Linked DNA regions of Notamacropus eugenii. The protein of the gene in region 4 purifies or fractionates together with the protein of the main gene of each other region. This does not show direct contact. Links are inferred from orthologs where the notes say so. Each region holds a gene or a part of one and is shown on either strand. Other genes may lie near its edges. The genes, in order: CCNL1, ZNF687, ARK2N and CSNK2B.

The links.
Region 1: the proteins of CSNK2B (region 4) and CCNL1 purify together in Homo sapiens (co-immunoprecipitation; 3 studies listed by BioGRID and IntAct, with this or other methods). This does not show direct contact. The link is inferred for Notamacropus eugenii from reciprocal best matches to the Homo sapiens genes CSNK2B and CCNL1.
Region 2: the proteins of CSNK2B (region 4) and ZNF687 purify together in Homo sapiens (co-immunoprecipitation; 3 studies listed by BioGRID and IntAct, with this or other methods). This does not show direct contact. The link is inferred for Notamacropus eugenii from reciprocal best matches to the Homo sapiens genes CSNK2B and ZNF687.
Region 3: the proteins of CSNK2B (region 4) and ARK2N purify together in Homo sapiens (co-immunoprecipitation; 3 studies listed by BioGRID and IntAct, with this or other methods). This does not show direct contact. The link is inferred for Notamacropus eugenii from reciprocal best matches to the Homo sapiens genes CSNK2B and ARK2N.

Annotation. Positions count from the first base shown.
Region 1 is NC_092877.1:368,068,171-368,076,052, reverse strand, and holds the start of CCNL1 (cyclin-L1), read right to left. Parts: upstream 3,010-7,882; 5' UTR 2,950-3,009; coding exon 2,593-2,949; intron 2,466-2,592; coding exon 2,391-2,465; intron 1,370-2,390; coding exon 1,260-1,369; intron 1-1,259. UniProt on the Homo sapiens protein: Involved in pre-mRNA splicing. Functions in association with cyclin-dependent kinases (CDKs). Inhibited by the CDK-specific inhibitor CDKN1A/p21. May play a role in the regulation of RNA polymerase II (pol II).
Region 2 is NC_092873.1:305,102,863-305,110,372, forward strand, and holds the start of ZNF687 (zinc finger protein 687), read left to right. Parts: upstream 1-4,498; 5' UTR 4,499-4,530; coding exon 4,531-4,615; exon of another isoform or gene 4,616-4,635; intron 4,636-5,113; exon of another isoform or gene 5,114-5,890; intron 5,891-7,510. UniProt on the Homo sapiens protein: May be involved in transcriptional regulation.
Region 3 is NC_092875.1:327,641,035-327,648,592, reverse strand, and holds the start of ARK2N (protein ARK2N), read left to right. Parts: upstream 1-4,541; 5' UTR 4,542-4,835; intron 4,836-7,558. UniProt on the Homo sapiens protein: AMPK substrate important for exercise capacity and skeletal muscle function.
Region 4 is NC_092873.1:85,319,433-85,327,396, forward strand, and holds the start of CSNK2B (casein kinase II subunit beta), read left to right. Parts: upstream 1-4,961; 5' UTR 4,962-5,002; coding exon 5,003-5,090; intron 5,091-5,128; exon of another isoform or gene 5,129-5,238; coding exon of another isoform or gene 5,239-5,287; intron 5,288-7,719; exon of another isoform or gene 7,720-7,964. Other genes in the region: GPANK1 (G patch domain and ankyrin repeat-containing protein 1), read right to left, coding at 2,036-2,480, 3,746-4,353. UniProt on the Homo sapiens protein: Regulatory subunit of casein kinase II/CK2.

The DNA.
Region 1 (7,882 bases), on a different chromosome or scaffold from region 4:
TTCAACTATTTTAATGTCACAGAGTTTGAAATTTTAAAAATTTCCTTCTCTAAAAAAAGTTTTTCATTGGTTTCATTGGATGTTGGGGGGAAAGGATTGGGGGGGAGAATAGAGAGAAATAGAATGTGTAGTTTTTTGGAAAAATACCTTATGATAGCAATATTCCAGATAATTTATTATTAATTACACTATTCATTTAGGGGAATGTCCCACATTTCTGTGTTGAACTCAGAAGAGCCCCACCACTGCCAACTTCTGGATTCAGCCAAGACTAAGGATGACAAAAGGGTAACTGATTCAGGAACTAGCTCCCAAGTCCCAGCCAAATAAAGTAGGAACCACCTCAGGATAACTACCCTTTTGTAACTTCCTTTCAAAGCAATAACAAGTTTGTCTACCAATTATCAGCATTCCATAAGAATGAAGCTTAAGATCTAAACTATTCCAAGAATATCCTTAGAGTGTACTAAATTCACCTACAAATGAAGACAGCCTGGAAAAAAAAGCTTTTCCTTAAATAAACACATAAAAAGACAACTTAGGCTGAACTGTGCAAATTCAACAAAACCTTTCGTTTCAGTCTCTGCAATTTAACGTGTAAGATCCAATTCCCATGCCTCCCTATAATTCAACCCAAACTTTTAAGAATTATTTTCTACCCCATTCCTGAGACTATCTAACCAGAACAAAATACCTGTTAAATCCCTTTGACTTCAACTTCAACCTTTATCATCCTGCAGTCCTTTCAGATCCGGTATTATGCGATATATCGTAGTTGAATGTGGAGAAGTATTCTAACAAAAGCCAACCTCAATTGATAAAGAATTAACTAGACTTCAGGGAGATAGACATAAACTACACAAAGAACTTTGCTGAAAATTAACTTACTACATTGTTTACACTTGCAAAGTTTTGTCTTCCAAACAAATGAACAGGGTGTGCTGATCATCTCAGAGCAGAATCCACACCCTTTCAATTCTTAAGCCATAACTGGCCCCCCCAAGACTACAGTCAACTGTATGTGAATCTGCCTGAACAAACCTGTTACCAATGAGTAGCTACTTTTTATTACCATTTCTCCAACTTAATCTTATGTGTTACATTGTGGTCCGTAAGTATCCATTTGAACTTTTACTACCTAAACAGCTTTTTTTAAAAATTTCCTTAGGTCCTGGGAAATGAGTATTAAAAAAAAAAAAATTAAACCTGATGGCACCGGTACACAGTACAGATGTTATTTTCAAAGAGATCAATCTTACCTTTTTCCTCTTAACTGCCGTAAATGGTGAAAAACATTTATCACATCTCTTATTCTACGAGGTGCTTCTTCAATTTTGGAAGCGAGATTGATACAAGCCATGGCAACAATCTGAAAAGAACCCATTCCCCAAAAAGATCAGACAGACAGACTAGGCTACAGGACGGAAAAAAAGTAACGCAAACCTGGCCAACTTTTCCCTTATAAGGGGCTTAAATTTCACAAAGTAAAACTGGCCTCCCATCTTTCCTGGAACAAAAGTAATAGTGCTATTTCCACCTTATACGTCAAATGTTATTTCCCAATTTTTCTACTGTTCTAAGCCTGGGGTCCAAAAGGGGGTACAGGGAAGTCTGAACTTGGATTAGCTTTCTAACTTTGTTTCTTTTGAACGCCTACAAAATTTATTTTACACCTTTAATATCTTTCTGAAAAGAGGTCCACGGACATCACTGGGGCTGACAAGCGTCGATGACAGGGAAAAGCTTAAGAATAAGAACTCTTGGTCTAAGTACAACAAGTTAGGGCGCTCCCCTAACACAATTACCCAGCCGGTGGCCCTAAACTCAGCTGGGGCCGAGGGGCATGTTGGGGAAGAAGGAAGGGTAGGTTCTCAGGACCTGGGTCCCAATTCCAGCTCTCTCTTTGCTACCTGAGTGACCTTGAACGATTCCCCGGGGCTCCCCAGCCCAACTCGGAGCTCCCCAGCCCAGTTCGGGCCCAGCTCGGGACTCCCCAGCCCAACTCGGAGCTCCCCAGCCCAGTTCGGGGCTCCCCAGCCCTGTTCGGGCCCAGCTCGGGACTCCCCAGCCCAACTCGGAGCTCCCCAGCCCAGTTCGGGCCCAGCTCGGGGCTCCCCAGCCCTGTTCGGGCCCAGCTCGGGGCTCCCCAGCCCAGCTCGGGGCTCCCCAGCCCAGTTCGGGGCTCCCCAGCCCTGTTCGGGCCCAGCTCGGGACTCCCCAGCCCAACTCGGAGCTCCCCAGCCCAGTTCGGGCCCAGCTCGGGGCTCCCCAACCCTGTTCGGGCCCAGCTCGGGGCTCCCCAGCCCAGTTCGTGCCCAGCTCGGAGCACGAGGACGGACCGGTGCTTCCTCAACCCTGGGTTCTGCGGGGAGGGCGGCCGGAGGCCTTACCTCGAAGCTGTGTTTGACGAAGGACTTGGAGTAGAAGAAGCGGTGGAAGAGCACCTGCCCCGTCGCCATCGCCACCTGCAGTCGGGAGAGAGCGGAAGCGCCGGGGTCAGCCACGAGCCCGGCCCCAGCGCCGCCGCCATCTTGTGCGGCCCGGGCCGGCCGCGCCCCTCCCCCCGACCCCTCGCCGGCCCCGGGGCCCTACCTGGGGCAGCCGAAGGAGGATGCCGGCGGCCTGGATGAGCTCGCAGCCCAGAATGCGCAAGTCCGTCTCGCTGGGCAGGTCGAGGCCGTCCTGCATGGACGGCGTGGGCGACAGCCGCTCCTCCGGGATCAGCGAGTGGTCGATGGTCAGCGACACCTCCGAGTAGAGCCTGTCGCCGATGAGGATCCCGGCCGCGGGGCCGCCGCCGGAGGCCGCCGAGGCCGGGCCGCCCGAGGCCGCCGCCGCCGCGGGGGCCGCCGAGGAGGAAGCGGCTGAGGAGGAGGCCGCGGGGGCCGAGGAGGAGGAGGCCGAGGAAGCCGAGGCCGCGGCCGGGATCGGGTGAGGCCCGGACGCCATCGTCGCAGCGAGCACCGCGCACGCCCAACGCAGCCGGAACCCGCGGCGAGAATAACCAGAGTGCTCGGCGGCCGCTCCGGCTCCTCCCGCCGCTGCCAGGTGCCGGACGCGTCACGCCCTGCAGCCGCCTCCGCCGTGACGTCACCGCGCGCCGCGAAAAGTAGTCCCTGTTCAACCGTCTCTTCCCGGCCGGAGGGCGCCGCCTCCTTGAGGTCGTCTGGCCGGGGCGGCGGGCCCCGGGAGCACGCTGGCCTGTCGGGGCGCCGGCGGGTTGCCTTGGGGTGCAGCTGTCCTCCCGACCACCCCTCAGACCCGCGTTGGAGCAGGAGGAAAACGCGGGGCTGCGTCGGAACAACGAAGAGCGCCCTCCCCTCGCGCATTTAGGCCCGGGGTCCTGAACCCCCTGGCCCCGGAGGTCTTCGGTCACGCAGCCGGGGGTCCGCTGCTCCCCCAAACCCCAGCCGATCGTTGTCACCTTGTCCCCGACTGCCCAGGGGACAGCTCAAAGCCGGCTCGGGCATCTTCCAATCCAGCGTGTTCCAAACCACTCATTCCATGCCCAGCCTCCCCTGCACCCCCAGCGCAGCCCAGTCTATGCAGCCTGCAGCCACGCAGGTGAACCTCGGCCGTGCCCCATTCTTGACCCCCACCTTTTCAGCGGACAAGTCCGGTCCACTCTGCCCGCACATCATCTCATGCTCACCCCCCTCTTTTCGTTCATAAGCTGCTTAAGAAAAGATATGATTCCCAAACCATCCTCGATGATTTTTGAAAGATGGGAGAGATGGTTATGCTCATGTCAGTGGTTTTTGAGAGATCTTACAAGGCTCAGAGGAAGACAAATGTACCTATTTCCCCAAAAAGGTCAACATTTACGGAGTTTACAAAGTCAGTGAGTTTCTAACAAAATTCTAAATTACACTAAAAGTATGGTTATTGATTAGGAAAGGAAGCACCAAAACCAAACAAAAAATCTGCATAGAAAACGGTTTGTGCTCACCTAACCTTCTTTACTCTTTCTTTGGACAGTTAACTAAATTGCATGATGTTGATACCCACTTGATAAAGTGTCTCATCGCTCTTCTGTGGGCACAATTGAATATTATAGGTTAAATGACTTCATTAAAGTGGAGTAAAAGCCAGTGGAATGATTGTACCTGGAGTAATTTGTTCTCGGTGGTTATACGTCTGTCAGTCAACTAGGAGAAATGCTTCTAGTGGAGTTCCCAGGGATCTATGCTTGGCCCTGCCCTGTGTTGCTTAATTTAGATAGAGATATATATGGCATACGTATCAAATTTGTAGATGGAACAAAGTTAGGAGGGATAGGTAATGTGTTGGATGACACAATTAGGATCCAAAAAAACCTCAACATGCTAGAACAAACATTGGTATAACTAATAAGACAAAATTTAATATGCACAAATAGGAAGCTTTACCTTGGGTTCAAAACAGTACTTTCTTAAGCACAAGATTGAAAAAGTATGGATAGAGGAGCATCTGCAAAAGGTCTTTGAATTTTTTAAGTTTAATCCTAATAAAGATTGTAATATGGCATCCAAAAAAGCAAATGTCACCTTAGGCTGCCCTAAGCGAAGTCTAGTATCCAGGCCTAGGTAAGTGAGAGTAACATATTCTCTCCTCATTATGGGAGAAATCAGGAGTGGAGGGCAATCAGGATTCCTGGTGAAGAGCCTAGATAATAATGTCATTTGGGGACTGGCTAAAGAAACTGAGTATTTGCTTGTAAAAGATTTTCAAGCTTGTCACTTAGAAGAGGGACCCTCAGATTTGTTCTTGGCCCATGTGAACAGAATTAGGAGCAATGGATGGGAGTTGCAAGGAGGTATATTTAGTTTTGATGTGAAAGGAACTTTGGGTTGCCTCAGGAGGTAATAATGGTAACAGCTGGTATTTATTTAGCTCTAGAAGCACCTTTTGTGTTGTATCTTATCTGATCCTGGCAACCACCCTTTGGGGGAGGCGCTTCTTTTATTGACGAGGAGACCTAGGCTGAAGATAAGTGAGTTGTTCTGTGTCAGGTACTAAGGAGCTCAGCCCTCTGTGCTTTATTTCAGTTTGTGGATCCCTTTCTATAGGATGCTTTAAGCAGAGGCTGGATTATGTGTTGGGGATATTGTAAACAGGAAGGCCCTGTTTAGGTACAGGTTGGACCTGGTTACCCTCAAGTCCCTATCAGCCCTGCTGTTATGGGATTACATTTGTATCCTTCCTTTGGCACTTAGGCAAATATTACTTCACATGACCACTTAACTATTTCACATTTGTACATGTAGTCTTCCAAAGTAGGCTATAAACTCCAAGGGTACAGGGTCCATTACCCAGTTATCTTATATCACCTCTGTCCAGTAAATTTCAATATCAACTTGTTACATAAACTTCATTCTTCTCTAGTTTAGCAGCATACCTGGTGTATCCAACCCTTCCTATCTTCTCTCACAGGAAATATGCTAAAGTATGATGCAGTTTCAAAAAGGCTTCTCTGGTCACTTTCCCTTCTAGGAGAGAAAACACTGCCACTACTGTTTTATTCTATTTATTTTTTCAAGTGGTAGGCAATGACTGAATGCCCCACCTATCCACATAGGTGCAGTGTGTCTAGGACAGCAAACATCACATTAAAACAGTTGTGGTGACCAGATAAGTGATGGGTGGCACAGACCACCAAGGGCAGTGAAATCTATAACTGTGTATGTTGTCTGGGTGTAGTTTCTAGAGGAGTGGCTAGGACATGAGTGGTGTATATATACGTATATATTGATTAAAGCTTATTATAGAAAGCTGACAGGTTGCATCACAGGAAAAAAATGAAGTATAGAGTTTTTAGAGCTGGGATAGACCTCAGAGTTTACTTAGTCCAAAAGACAATAATGAACATTTGTTCATTTGAACCAATTAGTGGTTCAACCAAATTATTTCCTGGGCTACTTTATACTCTGTTTAATAGTATTTGGTGTCAGTACTGGTCAGTTAAATTTGGGCTCATTCATGAACTCACAAAGGCAGTGTTTATGAGGGGGTTGCAGTAAGGAACAAGGAAGACTAGTAGCTGACTTAAGCAACTTTATTGGAGCAGTTCTAGACAAACAAACTAAATTTAGTTTTCATGGTTTATATGTAGTCTAGTGTGAGCCACTGGGCAGGATAGGAATCATTCCCTCAAGTTGGCAAGGCTTTGGAAGGAATTGGGATTTCTGGGTTAGCATAAACTTTGCCTACTTTATAACTTATCTACCTAGGTCCCGGCACTAGCTCAGACCCCCTTCAATGGAAACCTTCCACAGGTAGTAGATTCATAGAATGTGTTCTTATACCACTGCGAAGACTTGGCAATCATTCAGGTAATTTGATTAATATAGATGACCTGCAAGTTTAAACAGAAAAACTGAACTTGAATCATGATCTTATACGCAGAAATAACAAGCCTGATGTGGCTAATTTAGGGAACTGAAAGGCATCTGCCCAAGGCATTAACCTGTCAAAGTGTAGGGGCTAGCCCCCAAATCCCCAGTGTTAAAGACAGTTTTTGGATTTGTCTAGAAAGAGTCTGTTAAAGAAGACCCATGACTTCAGAGTGGGTCACAGAGGGACCATGTCACCACACAGGGATTCAAAACAAAAATCGTCCTTATTTTCAGATACTGAAATTTATCTTAATTTTGTTTTTGAGGGTTTACCTAATGTAGTAATTGTAATACAGTCCTAACGAAAGTTCCAATTGGTTTAGTTTAGGGGTCTGGATGAGATTTTTCATTACTATGTAGAGAACAATGGTAACTAAAACACCCTAACTTTGACTGATACTCTAACTAATTACTTTTACTCATACCCATTTGATAGAAAAAGTAACGATTCTGAGCTATTGGACCAGCAGGAATTCTTTGTGTTTTTCTTTTCCAGGCTAAACTTACACATGTTGCATATCACCCTACTCAGAGTAGAGCTTTGAACCCAGTCAGTCCTTCTGCATGAACAGCAATATTTAGGAATATTTAATTTATAGCATTTTAAAAACTGTATTACAAGTAAAACCCATACTTAAGCTCTCGTGAGGGAAAAAGCATCATGTAATGTCTGTCAAATAATAGATCTGATTCTAAAATATGTTCATCATGTTATATATGAAAACTATACGGTACGTATATAGTTATATCTACACAAACATGAATGTATTTTCTAACATACTTTTAAATTTTCCCAAATGTCTTATTTTTTCATAGCTTACCCTGGCTAAGTTCAGGAAAAACATGAGATAAATCAGAGAAAGTAATCTGCACTCTTTCCACACTTTAAAAATAATATTCCCTACAAGAGATATAATCCCAACAAAGGAAAATACTTTGCTTTACAAACCCAATAAAATCGACACAGGACATTTATCTTCATGTTCATCACGAAATAGCTGTCACTACATATTGTTGGCTTTGTCCAACTATGGTTATCAGGAGACTTTTCATAATAGTTTTACTATTATACCACAGAATGTTAATTTAGGGTCATCCGCCTATTGTTAAAAATCTTTCAATCAGTTCTAGGACCTACAAACCATCATGATGTTCTCTCAGGGAACTGTTCTAACAGGAATGTTGTTCACTGGGCACACACTTCAGACCTACCATACAAGGCTTTCTGATCTTTCACAGTTCGGGAATCAGTCCAGGGATATCTACGTTCCAAAGATTTCTGGATAAAACTAAGAACCGGAAAATAAAATGCTAGGCAATAAACTGTTCTGGTGTGTGTTCGCGAGGACTTGGGACTCTGTTTTTTGAAAAGCGGAATTAAGGACGTTACTCAGGATCACCTGTACCTGCCAGGTACGCAGGTACGCAGGTGTGCAGGTGTGCAGCACGGTGTCAGAACACACAAGCAGGTAAGCCAGCAGCTCTGCTAGGTACCAGGTAAGGGAGAG
Region 2 (7,510 bases), about 220 Mb from region 4:
AAAAAATAAAATGCTATTAAGTAAAAAAAAGATATGACAATATTTGGCAACAGATTATATATGTGAGATGAAGAGAGTGACGAGTTGCGAATAATGCTCTGGGTACGAGTCTGGGAGAGTGAAAAAAAGAATGGTGTTGACTTTAACAGAAAAAGAGAAGATTGGCAGAAGGGTGGGGTTTTGGTGTCTGTCACAGAAGTAGGCTATGGAATCTCAAATTACAGAAGCGGATTATGGAATCTCAAGTCATGGAAGCAGGTTATGGAATCTCAAGTCATAGGGAAAAGTAAGAAGACCAGTTAGGTGAGAGTGTGGGAGAAGGAGTAATTTATAATCTGTCTGGAAATAGCACCAGATAATGAAGGAACTTTAATGCCAAACAGAGGAGTTTATATTTTATTCTAGGGCCATAGGGAGGAGTTAAGCTTTTTGATTATGTTTAGATCTATGCTTTAGGGATATCCATTTTTTTTCAGTCAGTCAACAAATTAAGCACTTACTATGTATCAGGCATGGTGCTAAGCACTGGGTATACAAAGTAATGCAAAAGACAGTCCTGGTCCTCAAGATACTCAGTCTAATGGAAGAGACAACAAGTAAACAAGTTATATATAGGATAAACAGAAAATAGTCAACAGAGGGAAAGCACTAGAATTAAGAGGGATTGAGAAAGGCTTCCAATAGAAGGTGGGATTAAGAGTAGACCTGCTTCAGGTAAAATGGCCTAAAAGACCCTAACCTCTATTTGAATGTAATTATGAAAGTACTACATTTCCCAGGATACCTGGGTCCAGAAAACAAAGATGGATTACAGACATCATTTTGAATGAGATCATGGAGATGATAGGCTTTTGGGAGGAGGAGAGGGACATTCAGGAACACAAGTAGCCACGGAGCACCCCTGAAGCTCCACAAAGCAAGGAGTCATACTAGGTACAGAGAGATAGTAAGACCAGCTGCCTTCTAAGCAGAAATGTGGATGTTATATTCACTTCATTTTACAACCTCTTATTTCAGTTACAGACAGACTTTATGTAAAACTTCCCCATTGGAATTAGAATTATTTAAATGAGTTAAAATTCTAGGCTACTTTTGGGGAAGGGGTATGGGCCATTTACTGAGAACATGGGTGGCGATTGCTTTCCACTGCTTTTTGTATATTTCTGACCTGAATGAATATTTTGTTGTTCCAATGCTGTATGTACTGAATGTACTTCATTCAGTATGTGGCCCAGGAGCTCAGGGGGAATGGAGGACAGAGAGAGATGCAAGATTGATGGTTAGGGGAGCTCCTGTTTAGGCCATGCAATCTGCCCCTCTGGTGCATTGTTACAACTTTTAGGACTTAGAACTTTTAAAAGTCTTTTCATTTATCCTGCAACTGAACTCTATAATATGTTGTTTTTCCTCACCCTACCATCCCTCAAGTGTGTACTTGACCATAGATTGTCTTTCTGTAGTTGTCATCCATCCCCAGTACTGAGCATAGCACTTGGTACTTAGTAGCAACAGGAATTCAATAAATGTTTTTTCATTAAAAAAACAACAACAAACCTTCCAGCTCTAAATCTGTGACCTGAGATGAATAAAAGAGACAATTTACAGGACCAGGAGGAAAAGAACTTTTACAATCATTTAATCTAATTCTCTTTTTACAGATGAGGAAACTGAGATGCAGAATAGTTAAGTGATTTTTCCAAAGTCATCCTATTATAGATTAGCCAGGATGTAAATCCAGGTTGGCTAACTCTAAATCTAATGCTTTTTCCATCATACCATCAATCCATATTCTTTTCATCCATAGGTAAGTGGCATAGTGGCTAAAACCACTGACCTGACGTCAGGAAGACCTAACTTCAAATTAGGCTTCAGACCTTCATAACTGTGTGACCCTGTGGGAAAGTCACTTAACCTTTCCCTGCCTCAGTTTCCTCAACTGTAAAATGGGGACAACAATAGCACCTACTTCACAGGGTTGTGTGTCTCAAATGATATTTATAAAATGTGCAACGGTACAGTGGCTGGCACATTGTGGATGCTCAATAAATGCCTTTCTCTTCCCCATCTTAGATTTATAAATCAAATCTAGATCAGTGTAGGCTTTACCCTAAGACAGAGGCTCTTAACCTTCTTTGTGTCACAGACTCCTTTGGCAGTCTGGTGAAACTTAATGGATACCTTCTTTCAGAATAATATTTTTAAACGCATGAGATAAAACACATAGGATTACAAAGGCAAGAAATTAAATTTATTATATTCAGTTATTACTTTTTTTTTTTTAAAGACCCCAAGTTAAGAACCCCTACTATAATACTCGGAACATATCCAGATAGGTTGGAATCCAGCAATTTCAACTTTATGATGAAATTATTACAATTTGCAATCTGTTACGTTTATAAACAGTCCTTTCCTTGGATAGATAAAACTACTAGTGACGCATTTCATCTGTGGTCTGGTATTGATTTCTGAATTTATAACTTACTTTGCACAAGTCTCCAAAACACTCCAAGGAATGAAAAACAGGCTGTCATAAATGCCCAGGAAGTAGCCCCAAACTACCTCCTTCAGCTCCCTTCAGCAAAAGCATTAGATGGCTTCTCATTGCCTATATGATGAATATCATGTGTCTTAACCTGGCTTCCAGCATCTTCCATAACCTCTTTGCCATCTACATCTTCCATTTCAAGGATTCCCCTTTACTCCCGCTGAACAGGTCACTTCTCTGTCCTTTACACATGACATTCACAATCCTGCTTTTGGGTGTTTTTTCAACATATCTTTTTCCTGAAAAGGGACATTCTCCCTTCATCTCCTCTTCTAACTCCTACCGAAGAGCACTTCACATAAATACATTACTTCATGTGACAATTCTGAGAGGAATCAGAGTCCACAGTTATATATAAGGAAACTGAGACATATTTAACTTAATTGACTTAGCCCTGAGTTATGACAACTTAGAGCCAAGGTGGAATTCCAGCCCAGGTCTTACTTTAAAGCCATCAGCCGTCCAAAGTCCTCCATGCCAAGGCAAATCCGGGCTAGATTTCTCCTGAACTCTCAACAGCCATGGTTGTCCAAACTCTGGGTTTGCCCCTTTGCTGTATGCTACCTTGCGTGGGTTATAAGCCTTTGAGGGCAAGGACTTTGCCCCCCCCCAATCATTTCTTGGAGGGGTCTAGGCACATCAAGCACCATACTGTATGGTATCAATGATGGGGAGGAGCGGGCATTCTGATGGCCAAATTCCTTTTTCTGTTTCTCAGTTTCTTCTTGCCCAAAAGGAAAGGTTGTTTTGGGTCTCTAGGGTTAAATTCAACCCCAAACCCTGTAATAATACCCCCCAGTAATTAAGGGGCAGCACAGCGAGAGGAAGTCAAGCCTTTATGACTTCATCAAATTGAGGGAGACTCAAGGTGGGTGGTCAGGAGAAGAAGATAAGAAGCTGCCCACTGGCCACAAAGGGGCCATTAGGGGTAGGTGGCAAGGTCACTCACTGGATGCCCAAGTCAAGCCAGACTCCACGTGTCCCCTGCCCCCGCCCTCCACCACGTCACAGAAAGAAAGAAAAGGCGAGGAAAGTGGGGCTGTAGGAGCATCCTTAGGCCACGTGTAGTTTGGTGTGACGTCACCACGCTGATAAGAAAAACTGGTACTGCCCCACACCAGAGCTCGTCATGACGTCAGGTGACGTAGTAGCGTCGCCATAGTGTCATGGCGCGGCGTTCTGTCGCAGAGGTCGTTTGTATGAGAAACTAGCTTGGACAGGGTACTTCCTATCCGGGTCTCTCTAGGAGTCAAGGAGGAGCTGCCCCTCCCTCTCTAAGTCTTCATCAAATAGAAACTGAAAACTCTTTCATATTTGCATAGATGAAGACAGGCCAATGGGCTTTAGGAGAACCGAGGGACGTCGGAGAGCAATCTACTCCAGTGGAGAAAGAGGGAATCAGGCCGGGCAGTTGGTAAGCGACTGAAGCTTCCTCCAATGAACTTTAAGAAGCTCAGGTAAGAGGGATGGGCACGTTTCGTTCAGGACGGCGACCAATGGCGAGAGGGGTCCTCTGAGTGACGAGGGCCCCGGCCCAATGAGGATTGGAGGAGAGAGGGAACTTCGTCCAGAGCGACGTCAGCCGAAGCCACTAGTATCTGACGATGGGCGGGGCTAGAAAGCGAGCGACGGGCGTGACATCCAATGGCGAGTGCAGAAGCAGGCGGCTCCGGCCAGGAGCGCCGAAAGGGTTGAGGGAGGGGGAAAAAGCTCTACAGTGGAGAAGCAGGAAGTAGCCGCGGTGAGAAACGGAGGCAGCGGGGAAGGTGGCGGCAGCGGCGTCTGCAGGAGCTGGGTAAAGACCGCATAGTGTCAGCCTGGCCCGGGACCGGAACAAGTAAGCCCGCCCCGGGTAAATACCCGCCTCCGGCCCCGCCCCCTCCTTGGGGGCGGGTAAATACCCTCCCCTCCCCCACTTGGGTAAATCCCCCCTCTCTCGGGGGGAGGCGTCGGGGGGATTGGGGGTGGAAATCTGTACCGTGAGGATGCTGCTCCGCCGCCGCCGCCGCCCACCTGGGTCCGGCTTGGGGTGGGTGAACCCCCGGCAGAACCGCGCTCCCGGCAAGCCAGGTAAATACCCGGGGGACCGGAGGCACCTCGCTGCCGGCCCCTTCCCCCTAGTCTCCGGCCCAGGGCGGCGACCGGGTCCCGGGAGGCCGCGAGGGAGCACGACCCAACATGGTGCCTGCACCCCGGGGGAGAAGGAGTCGCGGACCGGCAGCCCTCCTTCCTTTCCTTCCCTCCCGACCCCCGCTGACCGGCCGCCCCGAAAGACGCGCCCGGGCCCGGGTTCGAAGGCTTGAGGCCTGCGGGTCAGCCCTCCCCCTCCCCCAGCTCGCGCCTCCCAGGGAAGCTGATGTCCTGAGGCCCCGCCCCGCCCCACCCCGCCTCACCCCACCCCAGGGGGCCCTGGGAGAAGCCAGAGCCGGCGAGCCGGGAGGGCGTCCGAGCTGGCCCCGGGAGCCCCGGACCACGGTCGGTTACGGGCGCCCTGAGACGCGGTCCTGAAACTCCTGCCAAGGAGAGGAGGGAGTGGTGGGCCCCGGGGCGCGAGCCGCCGCAGGCTGGCCGCTTGTGTGGGGGCCTCCAGACCCCTCCCCCGCCTGGCAGCCTCAGTTTCCCCCTTCGCCTTTCCCCGGCTCTGCCTCGCTGCGCTCCTCCGAGCCTGTGCCTCAGCAGATGGCAGGGACTTAATTCCGCCCGCTGCCCAGCCAGTCTGCAGCCTAATCGCCTCGTGTGCGCCGGCCGCGGCCCCTCCCGCCCCTGCCCCAGTGCCAGGCCGTGGGAGCCCGTGGAAAGCGGAGCGCTCCTGCCCTCCCCTCCCCCATGTGCCCCGAGCGGCACTCGCCCTGTTGGGCCTCCCCTTTGGCTTTTGGGCAAAAACTGAAGGAAAAGCTCAGAGGGGTGGGCGGCCAACAACCTGGAGACTCGGAGGCCGGAGAGCGCTTTCCCTTGAGTACCAGGCTGCTTCTGCCTTTGGAAGTGGATGGCTATGGGACGACTTCAGAACCTAGCCTGATTCCCCCCCCTTCCCCCGCTAGTTGCGGAGAGGGGTGTGTGAATGAAGTGGGGTGTACTCTTCATAGTCTGCCACTCCTCTTCCACCTGCCCCAAGGAGAACTGGGAGGACCTCTATGAGAAATAGCCAGGCAGCTCTTAGGAGAGCTTCCAGTTAGAGACTAAAGTAAGGGACTTTGCTGAAGAATGGGAGAGGATTCCCCATTTTGCCTCAAGCTGGATAGGTTTACCCCCTCCCCCCTCCACTGGCTCCCAGAGGTCCCTCCACTAGTACCTGCTGCCACCTGCAGAGACCATCTCCAGTTACCATCCTGGGTCTGGGGACAGGTGAGGGAACTGGCCCCTGGAGGACCAAAGGCATCTTGAGAAAAGAGAAAGGGGAGGGGATTTGTGGAGGTAGAGACTCCGTCAGCTTTGTTTTTGCAGAGATTGGCCAAATTTCAATTCTTTACCTCTTTTTTTTTTTTAATAGGGGTAGAAGGGGGTAAGATATTGAAGGTTACTTCTGTTTTACGGCCTTGGGACAGAGTGAGGGACTGTGGCTGGGTTTGAATGGAATTAGTTGCCACCAAGATGGTTTGAGAAGCTTTTTACCTTGGCAGCCTAAGGGGGGTGGGGGTGGGGTCCTGTCTCTCCTTCAGCCCCCTCTTGAATCCTAGGTTAATTTCTTTGGGGCAGTGTTGCCATTAAGTTCTCCTATGCATCTTGGTCCCTTGTCCTGGGAAGAAAGGAGAAGAGAGGAATATGAAAAAGAAAGGAGGGGCTGGCTGAGGGAAGTCTGTGCCACTCTAGGGAAGGCTGGGGAACTGAGCAGCAGGTGTTTGTGACTGAGGAGAGGCCCCAGAGCTGGGACTTTTGTGACAAGATCTACTGTCATTGTCTCTGGATCTCTCACCTAATCTCTCTGTATTTCTGTTTTCCCTAGTCCATTTTCCACATTGATCAGTTTATGTTCCCTTCTAGTTAAGAATCACCCCAGTTGGCCCAGATTTGAATTTATGGGATAACCATGGATGGTCTCAAATGGTCCCAGTCTCAGATTTCCATTGCCCACTCATCCTAATCCTTAGCAGATCTAAGATGTCCTTATTTGATCTGAAATCCAATTTTTATTTGATTTTATCCTTAAAACAGCTCTGTAGGGAGTTGGAATCATTCTCTGCCTTTTATAGGGTGGGGAAGCTGAAACCAAGTGAAACTTGTGATGAGATTAAACCTTTCTTGTGTCCCATCCTATTGCTCTGACCACTTGGCCCAATTCCTTTCTCATCTCTGTGGGCTTCCTTTGACCCACAGATGACCTTGATTGATCCTGTGGCCAATCTTGAGCCTTAACAGTTATTGATTAATTGTTTTTCTTTGCTGGGTACTGAGCTGAGTGATGGAGTCACTTCAAGGATGGGTCCCATGTCTGTATCTAAAACCTCAGCTGATTTCAGCCCTCTGTAAACTCTCTGAATTCCTCAGGACCCTTTCTGCTATATACATACATGCCTGCACACATCCCCATCTCTTTCTCTGACTTTCTGTGTTTACCTCACTTCATTGTCTTCAGCTTCCTCCTGCTATCCCTTCATATCCCTCCATAGCCCTTCCCTCCCCTCCCCTCCATCCTTCCCCAGCAGCTCTTTTGGACTTTCCCCTGCTTGAATCTTCAAGGTGCTGATGGGGGTCATCTGTGTCTCAACTCAGCCTCCCTGCTCCCCGCACTGACATCAAGCCAGTACAGGCTCTCATCACCAATTACCTGGTCTCTTGCAATAACCTCCTAATTATCTTCCTGACTCCGTTTCCATACCCTCCCCGGCCTTTAATCCATTCTTCATGCTGCTGGCAGAAACATTTTTCTTAGAGATGGTCATTCCGCTTCTGATAAAACTTCATGGCTTCCTTTTGCTTATCAAGGGATATTTAAACTGCCCATCATTATTCTCCTTTTCCAACCTT
Region 3 (7,558 bases), on a different chromosome or scaffold from region 4:
TTGAAAAGCTTTCAAATTGTTCTAAGAGTTGAGAGTAAAATGATTGTCCCTTTAAACTACAAATCCCAACATACTAGCCAGTTCTCAAAGCCCTATCACAGTTATTATTCTTTCATATTTAAAGTTCTGTGGACTATTGCCCAGACGAATAATATAACTTCTTTTCTCTAACTGAATAAAAATATGGAAAGTTCAACATCACTGTCATCATCATCCTCATCATCAGTGGTACTTCTCACATACTACCTAGTATTTTTATTATCTTTTAACATACATACTCTGTCTCTTCAAGTAGATATTAAGCTCTTTGAGGTCAGAGACTATGCCTTTTATTTTTATCCTCACTCCCTGGAATTATTGGGTATATGATCTGAGTCCAATAAATGTTTGTTGAATATATATGTATATATATATATATATATATATATATATATATACTGTTGACCTGAAAACTTGGTTAGAGAAAAGGCAACATGGCTAAATGCATACATTTTATGATTTAATTAATTAATCAATTCCCCATAAAGAAAACAGTTACATAGCGCTATGGAGTCAGAGGTGACTCTGACTACCTAGTACAGAAATCATCTGTCTTAAGTACATTTTGCCATGAGAAAGAAACTCTCCTAATTAAGCAAATCATAAATTCAGTAAGACAGGACAATTAACAAAGCAATGTTAGTCAGGCCTTGGGATTTCAGGCTGGGTAAGCATATGTCTCGGTGATAAGGAAAGAAACCCCACCACTAGTAAGTGGCAGGCTTCCTCCCCTAAACAGATAATTGACATAGGAAAGGGTAAACAATGTTCAATAGAAATTACGACCTAAGATGTCTATATTTTCTTTACCATTAATATGCCATAACATAGTACATGTCTGTAGATAATAAGATTCAAAGGAAAGTCTCATTATTCAAGATATAGTGTCTTAGGTTAAAGGTCTCCTTAAGGAGTGTAGAGTCGGCCTTGGCTGGCTTTTGCTGACATAGGAAGAGGCACTCTCTGAGTTTACTTCAGAGAGAACAAAGAGATTATTCCAAAATTTTATATTAAACATTATCAATACATACATAAAAATATGCACATGTACAATATAATGCATATGTTATAAATATTATATACATTTATTATATTATTGTACACATTATGGACTATATACACATTAAAAACTATAACATGCACGTACAGATTATATACATATGTGTATATGTATATAATCACGTGTCTGTATCTATACCTGTATTGTTGTTCAGTCATGTCTGTGACCCCATTTGGGGTTTTCTTGGCAAAGGTACTAGAATGGTTTGCCATTTTCTTTTCCAGATCATTTGACAGATGAGAAAACTGAGACAAACAAGGTTATATGACTTGCCAAGGGTCACACAGTTAGTGAGTATCTGAAGCCAGGTTTTAACTTTTGAAGATGAGTCTTCCAGATTCCAGGCCTAGCACTCTGTGCACTCCACCATATATATATATATATGTTATATGAAACCTAATCCTGGACAAGTAAATCTGTCCATTTATGCAGTGAAGATTTACAACTCTGGTGCAACGTATAGTCTTAGAAAACTATCCTGGGCACTTAGAGATTAAATGATTTGTCATAGCCAAACTGCTAATATGATAGAGGCAGAAGTGGAATCCAGGTCTTCCTAACTTCATATATGCAAATGCATATATGATATACAAATACACGTATGTATGCATATGTATCTGTCTCTAGCAAACTTGTATTTATTCTCTACTCCTATAGTGCTGTACAGTCCAGTTTGAGATGGGGTACAGTACAAAGAGCTCTGAACCACAGGCAAGTCATTAAATCTTACTGAGCCTTAATTTTTCTTCTATATAAAATGGAGATCATATTGCTTGTACTCCTTATTTCATACGGTTATTTTAAGGAAAGTGCTTTGTAAACCTTATCATTCTATGTAAATATAAACTCCTATCATTTTAACTGACAAACATTTTCTTTTGAGATGCCAATGTCACTGGGAAAATCATCATCTACTCCAATCCATTTCCTCATTTTATGGATAAGGTAGTTGAGGTTCAGATGTACCACACGAATCTCTAAATAAGAATAGTAAAATTAAATATATTTATAACTTTGCTTCCTAATGGCAGAGCCAGGCTCAGAACCTACTCAGTTTAATGTGTTTTTTATACTACCACATACTGCCTCTTGTACCTTAGTGTTGTAGAATGAATCTTTCCCAGATTTCAGCACCATTGTGAATATTTTTCTGACCCATCTCTTGTCTTTTAAAATAAATTTTTGTTGATATGTTTTTTACATTTTACCAGAATTTCTCTCAGTATCCTTTCTCCTAGAGAACCATTGCATGTAACAATATTTTTAAAGGACAAAAAATAAAAGAAAAAGATGAAGAAGAGGAAACCCCCTAGCAAAACTAATCAACCCCTTTCTTCTTTAGATTTAGTAACACTGTGCTTTTTGCCTTAATAAGAATACAGAGATAACTTTTGGAAATTAAAAAAAAATTTTTTTTCAAAGAATTTACATTTAACAAACATCACATTAAAACAGAAAACAGAAAATGCATATGAGACCACAAGCCTCTTACTTACAGTTTACCCTTTTAAAATTATATAATACATTCAATATATTACTTTTAAAGCTGTTAGTCAGTCAATAAGCAATTATTAAATGGTTGCTATGAGCCAGGCACCTTGCTACCCAGATTGTGTTTCTGAACTCCCTTCTGTTTTATTCTATTCATTTTCTCTTAAATGATACAGTGATTCTCTTTTCTTTCTTTTCTGTTTAGCAACATGATTGCTAAGCCCTTCTCTGTCCTTCCCATCCCATTCTCCTTTGCTGAAACAAAAATGAACCCCCAAAAACTCACTAGAAATCTCAGGAAAAAATAGTCAAGCAAAACAAATCCACACACTGACCATGTCTCAAAATGTGTATATCCTTCTGACCGTTAAGTCCATTACTTCTTTTTAGGCAGTGGCTAGCTTCATTATTGGTCTTATGGAATTGTGCTTTGTCATTGCATTGACTGGGGTTCTTAACTCTTTTCAAAATTATTTTTGATGAGTCTTCTTGTCATTGTATAAATTGTTCTCCTGGTTCTGTAGACTTTACTCTGCATCAGTTCACACAAATCTCCCCAGGTTTTTCTGAAAGCATTCTTCTGCCATTTTTCATGGTGCAATAATCTTTTATTATATTCATATTCCTAACTGATGATCACTCTCCTCTTTTGTTTCCAGGTTTTTGTTATAACAAAACAAGATCTATTTTGTACTTACATGTAATCTTCCTTTTCTTTTAATGTCTTTAGGATATTAAGCCTCATACTGTACCTTTGCTTCAAAGGATATGTGTCTTTCAGCGATTTTTCTAGTGTAGTTTCAGATTGCTTCCCAGGATGGCTCTACTGCTATATAGATGTCAAAGAGTACATTTGCTGTTTCTGTCTTTAGGGAGTCCCTCAAACAGCTGTCACTTCCTTTTTTTTGGTTATCTTTGCCAATGTGGTGTGTGTGAGCAGGTGCCTCTGAGTTTCAGTTTCCATTTCTCTACCTATCATTTGGAACTGTTTTTCATATGGTTGTTGATAGCTTGGATTTCTTCCTTTGAAAATTGCCTGTTTATGTCCTTTGACCATTCATGTTTTGGAGAATGATTTGTTCTTGTATATTTCAATCAGTTTCTTACAGGTTTTGGATACCAGTCCTTTATTAGAGAAACTTGCAAAGATCGTTTTCTCGGAAAAATTGTGAAACTGCTGAAGTTTATGCTCACAACCTTTCTTATTGCCCATCCGACCTCCTCAGGAGCCCATTACCTCCATATCCTTCCCCTTCCCTCAAGAATATCTGATATTCAAAAAGGGTCTGAAAATTTATTCTCTCTAGAGTGTTAATATTATTTTTCCCAGGGTATAATTTGAGTTTTAAAAGGGCATTAAGTCTCTAATCAAAGAATGACTCTCAATACTAGAATTTTAGGAATCAGCTTAAGAACTAGAAATTTTGTTTTTTGGAGAAAGGACCATTTTTACACTTCTCAATTTACGCCAGTAGATAATCCTGTAACAATTAACAATTCATAAAATGTGCCATTAGTGTTCAGCTGGTTGGCTCCTATTAGAATTACATGCGTGTGGGAAGACGCGGGGAGTCTTGGGGGGACGGGGTGTCCTTGCTGGCTGAAGTTATTGAATGGATAACGGTTTGATTGAGTAAATCAGGGGAACCTTCACGGAGGAGACAAAATTTTGTAGAGTCCGGAAGACCGGAGTAATTTCCTCTCCGAATCTAGAGCAAGTTCGAGTGGAGGACACTTAAGAGGGAGAGAGGGCTAGCTAGAGCCGCTGAGATTACAGCGCGCCAGGTTCTGCAGCGGGAGGATCACCGCATTAAGTCCTGGAGGGGGCGCTCTGACGCTTTCACGGCCTCCCCTTGCTTCCTTCTTCCTTCCCTCCCCCAGGAGCCCCTGGTGCAGTCGTCACTCTAGCTGCCTGGCGGAACCTCGGTGGTTCCGGGCGGAAGTGAGGCGCGGAGCGGAGCGGAACGGCCTCTGGTGACATTTTCTCCGGGCGGCGCGGAGGAGAGAAGGGACCCGGCAGCGGTGGCGCCCGTGCTGTCGAACCTCGGCCCCTGCCCCCTCGATCCGCTGGGGGTCTGCGTCCGGAAGGAGGAGTCTGCGGCGGGAGCTGCCGCGACTGGGGCCGGGGGAAGTGTCACAGCGGCGGGAGAGGGTCTTTGATCAGACAGCCATTCAGTCCGTCCGGGCTCCGGGCCGGGAGAGCCAGGCGGCGGGGGACGGCGGGAGGAGCCGCCGCGGAGCGCAGGTGAGCCGGCCGGCCCGGGCGGCCGCGGGCCTCGGACCTGGGGTTTGACGGTCCAGAGGCCCGGCAGGGGCGGCGGGACCTGCCCCAGTGTGAGGCGGAGGGGCTCCGGTGTGAGTGTGTGTGTTGTGTGCAGTTTGTGTTATGTGTAGCGTTGCATGTGCGTACCTGCGTGTATGTGGTGTTGTGTGTATGTGTGTGTTCGTGTTGGCGTGTGTGTTGTGTGAGTGCCCGTGTGTGTGGCGTGTACATTCCCGATAACAGAGGCCATTGTGGTGTTCCCTTCCTTTTGTATAATTGGGGTCTGGAGGGGACCCAGGTGGTGATAGGCTGAGTTTCTGCTCCACGAAGTCCGGAGGTGTGTGGGGGGTCTGGCCAGAATCCGGGCGGCACCGGCGGCCGCCACTGGCGATCTTGGGGCGCGGGTCCGGACCCGCCACCGCTAGCTTCTGGAGAATAACAGGCGCGAGTTCTTTCCGGTCTTTCTTCCATCACTTTTTTGGGATGGGGGTGGGGGAACCCCAGATCAAGTGGGAGGAATTCCTTCCAGACTCTCCTTGAGGGGGATTGGGGTTCCCGGAGTTCTTTCTCCTCCCAGGAGCGGGAGCTCAGTGGAGCAAGCCCCACTTTCTCCTGCGGGAGGGGGAGGGGGAGGGCAGGTCATAGTCTCAGGGACTCAGCAGTTCCCCGGCCGCAGTCCTCTGACCCTCCGGGGCCAGACTGGGACTTTTCACTTTGGTCTGAGTGGACTCAGGAGTAACTCATTCCAAGCTTTCCACCAGAGCCAGGTTTTTGCAGTGACCTGGTGCTTATGTGCCACCCACCAGCCACAGTAAGGCTGCGGAAGGGGTTCTCTAGAATGGAAGCTTTTCCATACAATTTGAATACTAGCCTTACCTTCTTTCCCCCACAGCTCCCCCTGCCCCAGTTCAGTTGGAGGACATCCTCAACCTTAATATTTGTCTTTGGGAGTTTTATCTCTCATCCTGAGATTTCTGGGTAGATATTACACTCCTATTTTCTAGAAATTAATTTCTGTCCTGGATATACATGGATTTAAAAAAAATTTCTTTTGAGGGAGGGTGGGTGGTTTTGGGTCTTTTTGGGGGAGGAGACAGGGAGGGGCAGGTTGGAGAAAGATTAGTTTATTCATGTATGTTCCTATTTCCCATGCCTGCATGAATCGTGATATCTTTCCATAGAAACAAAAAATTCCTACCTTTTTATCAAACTCTGGCCATTTAATTACAACCACATCTAGCAGTTTTGTTCAGGTTATATTATTTTGTGATATCATAGGCCAAGGTAATAATTCGAAACAGAAACTTGAATCAGCCCTCTCCAGGGATAATTTTAAAGATGGAGATTATTAACCTGCTAATATGATGGCGATTTTGCTTATTCCACCACTCTGAGTTATTTCAGCCATCTAGGCTTGTTAAACCTATTAGAGATTTAACAAGTATTTTTAATAGACCTACAGTTGATAGTGTTACTTGAATACTAAAGTGTTGGAATCATACATGGGCATTGATGGTACCAAAGGTTCCTATTTTGTCAGAATGATTTGTACAGTTGAGGAAAACTTTAAGTGAAATGCACTTAAATTATATAGTTTTCCACATTAATGTGTTTCAAAACAGAGTAGTTAAATTTTACACATTGTCCTATTAGAGAAATAAATATGTTCAACTTAAAAAAATCAGCACTTGTAATTTAATGAGTGAGGAATTGCCTTTAGTTCAGATTCAGCTGAATTCAGATAAATGCATGCATGCATGAATGAAAAAGCATTTTTTAGGTGCTTACTAGGTGCTAGACATTACGTTAAGTGCTGGAAATAGAATTTTTTTTTTTTTTAGAGATACCTTCCCTCAAGGAGCTTAGATTTTAGTAGAGAACTCTAATAAGGGATAATAATAAGTTTTGTTCTGGGGAGGTGGGGAGATGGCGTGAGGGTATGAACTCGAAGACTTATAGATGGTAAAATGACTTGAGTGGATGGCTGAATAGGATGTGAAGCTGAAGCACTGTTTGGTGCCTCTGGCCAGCATGTAAATATATTGGGTTAAGTGGGGTAGTTTTCACATACTCAGTCACCAATCAAATGGGTTGGATTCTGGGACTGGAGCTCCATAATTTACCATTTTGGAAAATTTTCTGTTACTAAAATGTTTAAGGATTTCCCCACTCAGCCAGTATGTCTTATGTTTGACTTGATAACAAGTCTTTCTGACTTCAAGTCCAGCCCTGAACACTATATTGCCTCTACACATTTAGAAGCTTAAGTATAGCTTTATCTTTTTGGTGTCTATGCAGTTGTAAAAGCAAAGAACAGTAGACCCAGGTTTAAGACCTGGTGCTGCCTCTTGGTGTGGGACATTGGTAAGTCACCTAGCACCACTGAGCCTGTATCTGTAGGTGTAAAATTGAGAGGATGCTAACCTCACTATTATTATGAGGATCAGATGAGGCAGAGTATATAAAATTGCTTTGAAAACTTTGAAGTACTTGCAACTATGAGATAGTCATTTACCCTGGGTAGTATTTTCATGTTATAGATGGAAATTTCAGTTCAGATGTGCAAAATCTAAGTGAAACAAGAAGAAAGAAATACAGTTTTAAAGAAACTGACATTGGAAATACTAAGTGCAATGTTTTTCAAGCAATTTATATTGGAAGCACTAAGTACAGTGAAATTCTTAAGTGAAAGTACTATTTTCCAG
Region 4 (7,964 bases):
GCATAAGAAATGTAAATTTGGATGTGACCCGTGAGAATTTGTTTTGTTGACTATGCTTATGTGATATAGAGCTTCAATACAGGTTGAAACTATCCTTTTGGATTCCCAGTTTGTGTTGAGCAGTAGCCACTTGAATCAACTATGATCTTTACACCACTGGTTCCTTAGACATAAGATTTTCAAACTAAACAACAACCCTAAATTAACAGAGCACAGAATTATACAGTGATAGCTCATATAGGAATCCTATGTTGAGACCCCTAGCCAATAAAGCCTGGGGCAGCCTGCTAGGCAACTAGCTGAACTATAATAAGCATTATCACCAGGGCTACACTCTCTGTCCAGCTGTCAGCACAAACTTCTTTGTCTGGCATTCAAAACTCTCCATGATCTGGCTCAAACCTGTCTTTCCAGTCCTACCTCACATTACTACTGTCACAGAGTCTGTCAGGGGTGGGAAACTTGTGATCTTGAGGCCCTCTAGATCCTCAAGTACAACCCTTTGATTGAATCCACACTTCAAAGTTCCCCATTCCTGGTCTAAATTACAGGAAACTAGCTTGAACTTTCCTGGTCTTTCCTAATGCTTGGAAGGCATTCCATTCTCCTCTCTTTCACTCAAAATACTTATCTCCTTCCCTTTGCTTCTCATCATGTCTTCCAAGTAGGGCAGTGTCTACCAAGCAGCAGCTCATCTGTTATGTCTTTCCTGTCTACTCTGACCGTCCTCTCAAAATCTAAGTAAATTGTAGTAACTTATACCAAAAGTATTTAATAAAATATTCCACAGCATTCTTGTAAGCAGGGAGAGATGGAAAGACGTCTTCCAGATTAGATGACTTGTATGGACACAATCAGAGATTCAGAAATGCTCAAATAACTGGCTTGGCCCTGTGCTGTTTATCATTTGTATCAATGACTTGGACAAAAGCATAGACGGCACATTCATTTTTGCAGATCACACAGTGCTGGGAATAACCTAACACTGGAGAAGTCAGAATCCAAGATCTTAACAGGCTAGAGTGTTGTCCTGCATCTGATAACATGAAATTCATAAAGATAAAAGAAATTGGTATCAATTCAATTCCAAATGCATTTAAGCCTGCTTAGTTGGTGCTGTGCCAGGTGCTTAGAGCACAAAGATAAAAATAAACCAGTCCTTGCCCTTAATGCACTTCTATTCTACTGAGGGGAATTTGTATATGTAAGAAGATAGAACATATTTTGTCTGAGGATGAAGAAAAGTGCCGATAGAGAAAAATCAAAAAAGATCTCTCATAGGAGCTGGCACTTGAGATTGAAATGTTTCAGGTATGGGGAACTGCCTATGCAAAGGCATAGAGGCTGGAGATGTTACACATGAGGAGTATCAAACAGTTCACTTTGGCTGAGGGGGGTGAGAAGTAATGTGAAATCAGTCTAGAAAGAATGATGGGTTCAAGATAGATTGGAAAAGGCTTAAATGCCAAAAGAGTTTGTATTTTGCCCTGTAGACAATTAAAGAACTACTTAGTACAGTTCTTAGAACACAGTAGGCACTTAAAATGTTTATAAATTACTTAAGGTTCATTGGCCTCTCTGGTCCCACTTTCCCCTTCTGTGAAAATGAATGGGTTGAATGAGATCATCTCAAGTCTTTTCTAGCTCTAAATTTTATCACTCTACAACACATAGCCAAAACGGTGGAAGATAACTCAGTATGAGTTTACTGCTGCCCCTTCCCCATCCCAGTTCCAAATTCCACCCTCTCTCAAAACTGTCCTACTCCCCTCCAAAGCAGGAAAACATCACAAAACAAAACAAAAAAGATATGTTTATTTCTCAACTTTAAGCAAGGATGAATCAACCTTTGCAATCTCCCTCCAGCAAAGGCTAAAATCAAACTAAACAAAATCCAAGATTTCAAGTCTAGGAAGACCCAAGGGACTAAAATTCCAAGTTCAGGGTCAGATGTCAGCAGTAAGATCCTTGGGGGTAGGTAGTCACAGGTCTCCAAAGAGTCTATGATCAGAGATCATAGTTTATATAGTCAGGATCAGAGATCAAGGTTCATGTAAGTCCGTAGATTCCGTTCCCAAGCTCGACTCCTCTCCTCTCGATGTCTCTCTTCTCTCTTGCCCAAAGTGGCAGCTCGAGGTGCTCTTTTTTTTTCAGCCACAGCACGAAGGTCCCCAGCAGGAAAATGTGTGACTCGGGGTTGAGAAGTTGGCCTATATCCCAAACCTTCCTGGTCTCTCTTGAGGATTGTAGGAATGGGAGCAGTGCGCCCCTCTCCCCGGGGTCCCAGTCCCAATCCAGGCTCCCAACCCCCCTTCACTAACAATCGAAAGCCAGGGCTAGAGGCAGGGACTCCTGGAGGCAAGGGGGGTGGCTGAGGCCCATGGGACAGGGATAGGAGGTGAGCAGTAGAGCTGTTGTGATTAGTGTCTCGGTAATGGGAACTACAAGTCTCACAGTATTTTGGCAATGGAGAGCAGGGCCTGGAAAAAAAAAAAGGTAGAAAAGAGTGAAGGTGGGCGTCTTTTCAAGGTCCAGTTCAGTTGCTTCCTCTTCTATGAAGCCTGATACACAACTGCTCATGTTTCTTCCTCTAATTTTCCTAAAGCACTCTGGAGCTCTTTTGTGCCTTTTACTCAACCTAGTAAAACACTTATGCAAGAACTACAATAAACTTAAAGTTGGAAGGAGATTTAGAAGTTATCTAGTCCAACCCCACTCTCTAGTTAACAAATGAGGAACTGAGGCCCAGACAGACAGACTTCCCCCAGTCAGAGGTAGTAAGACAGAGCATCGTATCAGTCCCTGGTAGGCTGTAAGCTCTTCCAGGGAATCTGTGTAGTTTTGCATGTTCAACTTCCAGCATACACAGCGCCTTAGATTTTACTGGCATTGAATAAGTCTTCAAAGACTGTATTACTTTACTGGACAGGAGGCTCAAGGTTGGCTCAGCTCTGGAGTTGAAAAGGGTGACCACACCTTATTAATCCATACTCCTCGGGTATACTTTCTCACCAGTCCTTAGAAACCAGGGCCTTGCTACCATAGAGAACAATCTCAAGGATCCCCAGGTGGAAAGGAGGCTAGGTATTATTGGCCACCGACTCCTTAATGGGGTGGGGTAGGACAGTGTAATAGTGAAGATGACGATAGCTAACATTTGCAAAGTTGACCATGTGCCTGGCACTGTGCTCTAAATCCTTTACAGCTATTACCTCATCTGATCCTCCCAAGAACCTAGGTTAGCAGTAGATGGGGGAAGAGGCTGAGGAGCATCCTCAGATCTGACCCATGGGCTGTCACCTCCAAACTTAAAATCCTATTTGGTAAATAAAGTCCTTGGACAAGGGAGCCCTCGAGTCCCTTTCTAGGTTTCCTACACCGCACTCACCCCCACACCGAGATCCAGTGATAATGCCCACCTTGCCTTCCTCTCACAAGACAATCTTCCAGACCATGGGCTTTCTTTCTGGCCGTGCCCCAGGCCTGGAATGCTCTCCCTCCTCCTCTCCACTTCATGGCTTCAAGTCCCAGATAAAACCTCACTTTCTACAGGCTTTTATCCACCTCCCTTAATGCTAGCGCCTTATCTCTTTCTTATTAATTCCAGCATGAAGCTGTTTGCATGGCTTTCGCCCTTAGCCAGTAAGCTCCAGGCTCGCAGGGAAGGTCACCGAACTTTCTTGGTGACTCGGACCCTTCCCCGTCAGCTGCTAGACTGGGACGGTGGCAGGGGGCTGCCACTCACCGGCTTTGGGGCCTCTCCTCTCCACCGCTCTCTCGGACCATCCGGGCCACCTCGGGGAAGCCGGCCTCTTCGGCCAGCTGGGCAGCATCGCGCCCCCCGGGCTCACAGACGCCCACCCAGGCGGCTCCTCGCGCCAGGAGGTAGCGCACTGCCGGTCCCTGGCCCGCCCGGGCTGCACACATCAGCGGGGTCCACCAGAAAGCGTCCCGGGCGTTGACGTTGACATGGGCCCCGCGGGCCCCCGGGCCTCGGGGCTCCAACAGGGCGCGCAGCTGCCGCACGTCCCCGGCCTGCGCAGCCCGCAGGAGCCGCGCGGTCTGTCGCTCCCGGGTCCCATCGCTCTCGGCGCGGGCCGCAGCCGCTCCCGCCGCGGCCCCGGCCCTCTCCAGCCTAGTTTTCTGCGTCCGTTTTCTGCCTTTGGGGGGCGCCCGCGAGGGTGCCGGGGGCCCTCTGAGGGCGTCTCCCTCCACCCCGACCAGGGCTTCATAGAAGTTCCGGGCGGCTGCACCGTCCAGGGGGAGCTCCGACTCCGGCTGCTGCCGCCCGTCCTTCCAGTGGTCACTCGAGTCCCGGGCCGGGGTGAAGGCGATAAGGGCGGGGCGGGTCATGACTGCTGGGGTGGGGGAACATCAAGCCAGCCGCCCTCAGGAGCAGTTACCGGGCCAGCGTGGAGCGAACGCCAAGTGGGTCATCCTAAAGCTAACCCAGTAAAGGGCGGCAAAGCCCCCCACCGAGACTTGTAAGCGACCGGCAACCAGGAAGTAAGTTCAATGATTACAGGCCTCCTCTCTGGATCCCACCTCTAACTCCCTACGCTCGGTACTCGACTTCAAGTCCCAGTAGCAACCAGCGCCAGGCTGAGACACGGCGCCGGCGCAGAAAACACTCCGGAAGTAGATCACTGAGAAGAGAGTGCGCCTGCGTCAAACTACAGTCTCAGTCTGGAACCAAAGGAACACTTGAAGCGTGCCGCCTTGACAGCACCCGTAAAATAACCTGGCGAGATGGAGGACTGGAGGCCGGAGCGATGCGGAGGTGGTTAAAAAGAGGCAGATAGACACACAGACACATACACACACACGGGATTCTGCGCCCGCGTTCTGTTTATTTTGCTCCTTTTCTCCGCTCCTTAGCCGCCGGTTTGATTCGAATTGCTCGGTAGCTCGAGGCAGGCGCGTGCTCAGAGGCGCGAAGGCCCCCGTGGGGGAAGGGAGGGGCACCGGCCGTTAGGGTTCTTCGTTTGCATAACGCCCCACAATGTGCTTCGTTCCTCTCAGAGTGGCCCCCGAAGCCCATTTCCTGGGGCCAGAGACGGGGTTTCGGTGGAGTCAGCTGCCCAAGGAAGGTGGGCACAGGCCTGCAGGGTGCAGCCAAGTCTAAACGCGAATTAGGGCCAGGCTGCCTCTCACTCTTAGTGCAACCAGCATTTGAGGGCTAGACAAAGAGCCCTGTGCTGCTGCAGGCCAGCCTAGCCCCTAGGAGTGGAGGAGGAGATGGAGAAGGGCAAGGGGACAACTAACAGGATGGCTGGTGCCACCTCAGGTTAGCGGCCCCCTCCCATGACAAGCCCTTTACCCCGGAGGCTGGGGTTAAACCCTTTCACTCCCTAGTACCACCCCACCTCCATTCTCTGGAGAGAAGGGGCAAAAAAGAAACCTGGTCATCCAGTGCTCTGGAGGAGGGTGGACATGAGGACCTGTTTGGTAGAGCTGGCGCAGGGGCTAACTTGGTATGGGGTGATTTGTGGAGAGGTGGGAATAGAGATAGATGGTAAGGGTTAATTGGCAACTTGGAGGAAGAAATAAAAGATAGGGGTAATGAAGGTTGGATAAAGGGAGAGAGGAAGATGAACTATGATGAAGGAAGATGGGATGAAGGAACGCCTTCATACTTTACTGAGAAAATAGAAGCTATCCTTCATGAACTGTTCTTACCTATTCTATAAACCAACCCTCTCAATTATCCCCCATTTTCTTCTTATAAGAAGGCACCCCTTCTCCTTGTCAGTCCTCTCTCAACTTGTACCCCTTCATCTTATCTCTTCCCAGAGCTTGCCCCTCTCTCCTCTTATCCACTGACTCCTTCCCTCTTATCTACAAACATGCTCAAGCCTTCCCCATCCTTGCCTAAACCCTCACTAGCACACCCTCAAACTATCATCCTACATGTATCCTTTTCACAGCCCAACTCCATACCTCTCCCACTACCACAACCAAAACGGGTTTCTCCAAGGTTATTAATAATTTCATTATAAATTATTAATTTTCTTTAAATTATAAATCAAATGGCCTTTTCTCATTCCTCATCTTTTCAGTTTTTGAAACTGTTCATCACCCCCTCTTCCTAAATACTTGCTCTCAACTTAGCTTTTATCACACTACACTCTCCTGGTTTTCAAGCCTGAAGGACCATTCCTCAGTCTCCCTTGCTGGAACATCATAGGTATTCAAACCACTAAGCATGGGTGTTCCCCCTGAGGCTCTGTCTTGGGTCCCCTTCTTTTCTTTCTTTACAGTATTTCTTTATATCAGTTCCCAAAGATTCAATTATCATCTGTATACAGATATCTCTCAAATCTACATATCTAGCCCTAATCTCTCTCCCAGATTTCAAGTTCCAGATCAGTTAGTTCCACAAACACTTGTTAAGCATCTACAGTGTACCAGGCACTGTACTAGGCATTTGGATACAAAGACAAAAACACTGATGAATAAAGTCTATTGACTGGCTGCTGGATATTTCCACCTGGATCTCCAACTCAGCGTATCCAAAATAGAACTCATTTCCCACCATGCAATCAGCACTCATCATGCCTAGCCAGGACTATTGTAATAGCCTCCAAGTTGCTCTTTCTGTTTCCAATGTGTTCCCTTTCCAATCTATCTTTAACATAGAAGCAAAAAAATCTTGCTAAAACACAGATCTGAACAAGGCACTCCCCTAATCAAGAAAGTTCTGTGGCTTACTTTTGCCTCTAAGATAAAAGACAAATTCTTCAATTTAGCTTTTAAAGTCACAATCTAGCTCCAGTTTAGTTCCCCAGATTTATTTCACACTACTCTCCTTCATCCACTCTTGTGTTATAGGCAAACTGACCTATTTACTTTTCTCTGAATTTGGCATTCCATCTCCTGCTTCTGTGATGTGCTGTGCCTTTAAAGATTAAGAATAAACTGAGAAGCATTATGATACATACTCTACCTGTGAGATATGTAGGGGAAAGACTTTCCAACCTCACTTAGGAAAATGTACAGGAAAAATGTGTCTCATCTCTGGAATGTACTCCATCACTTTCATATCTTAGAATTCTTTGAAGGTTCAACTCAGATGCCAACTCCTGCAGGAAGCCTTTCCTAATCCTCCTAGATTTCAGTTTTCTCTCAAATTATCTTGTATTTATGTATATGTACCTCATTGCGGGGTCGAAAAATACCCACATCAATGAGATTGCACAGATCAACTTGGAATACTGGAATACATGTATTCTCCAGTAGTGTTTTTCATAGTGTCTTTTGTAATCCCACACCCATCAGTGCTTTGAATATATAACAGGCGTTTATATAAAAGTTTGTTAAAGTACTGGATGATGAAAAATGATTGAGGAGAATGGGATGATGAAGGCTAGTTAGGGGGATGAGGATTGTGAGAAAAGGGGAGATGACTGGAAATAAGGGTGAGGGATGACAGATAGATGACTGGGGAAGTATGCAGTACATTTAGTATAAACTGAAGAGCTAGACCGTTATTGTAGATACCTTACCTGTGAGACGTATAGGAGAAAGACGGTCCAATTCCAATTTAATCCCAATCTTGTTCGGCTCGCTGATGTGTAGGAGAAAGACTCTCCAAACCTTACCTAGTCTGGGTGTTGCTCTCTGTGGGCACGAGGACTACATTTCCCATGTTCACCAGCGCTAACCTCGATCTCGGGCTCCTGTTTCCAGCATCTTAGAGGAGAGCCTCCAGTCCTTCCTCCTTTGTGGCCCCGCCCCCTGCCCTATTTCACTGAGAGGACAGGGGCAAGGGTGTCTTCCGGAAGTCGTATTATTAGCCCAGCCTTACTACTGTTCAGGGACTCCATATCCCGTCTTCCACGGGGGGAGCCTGACCTCCTGCGCCTGCGCTCTGTGTACTTTCCCGCCCTCCCGTTTCTCTTCCCCCTTCCCCTCCCCCCTACCCCCCCACCGCTTCGCCTGCCGCGGTCGGGTCCGCGGCCTTC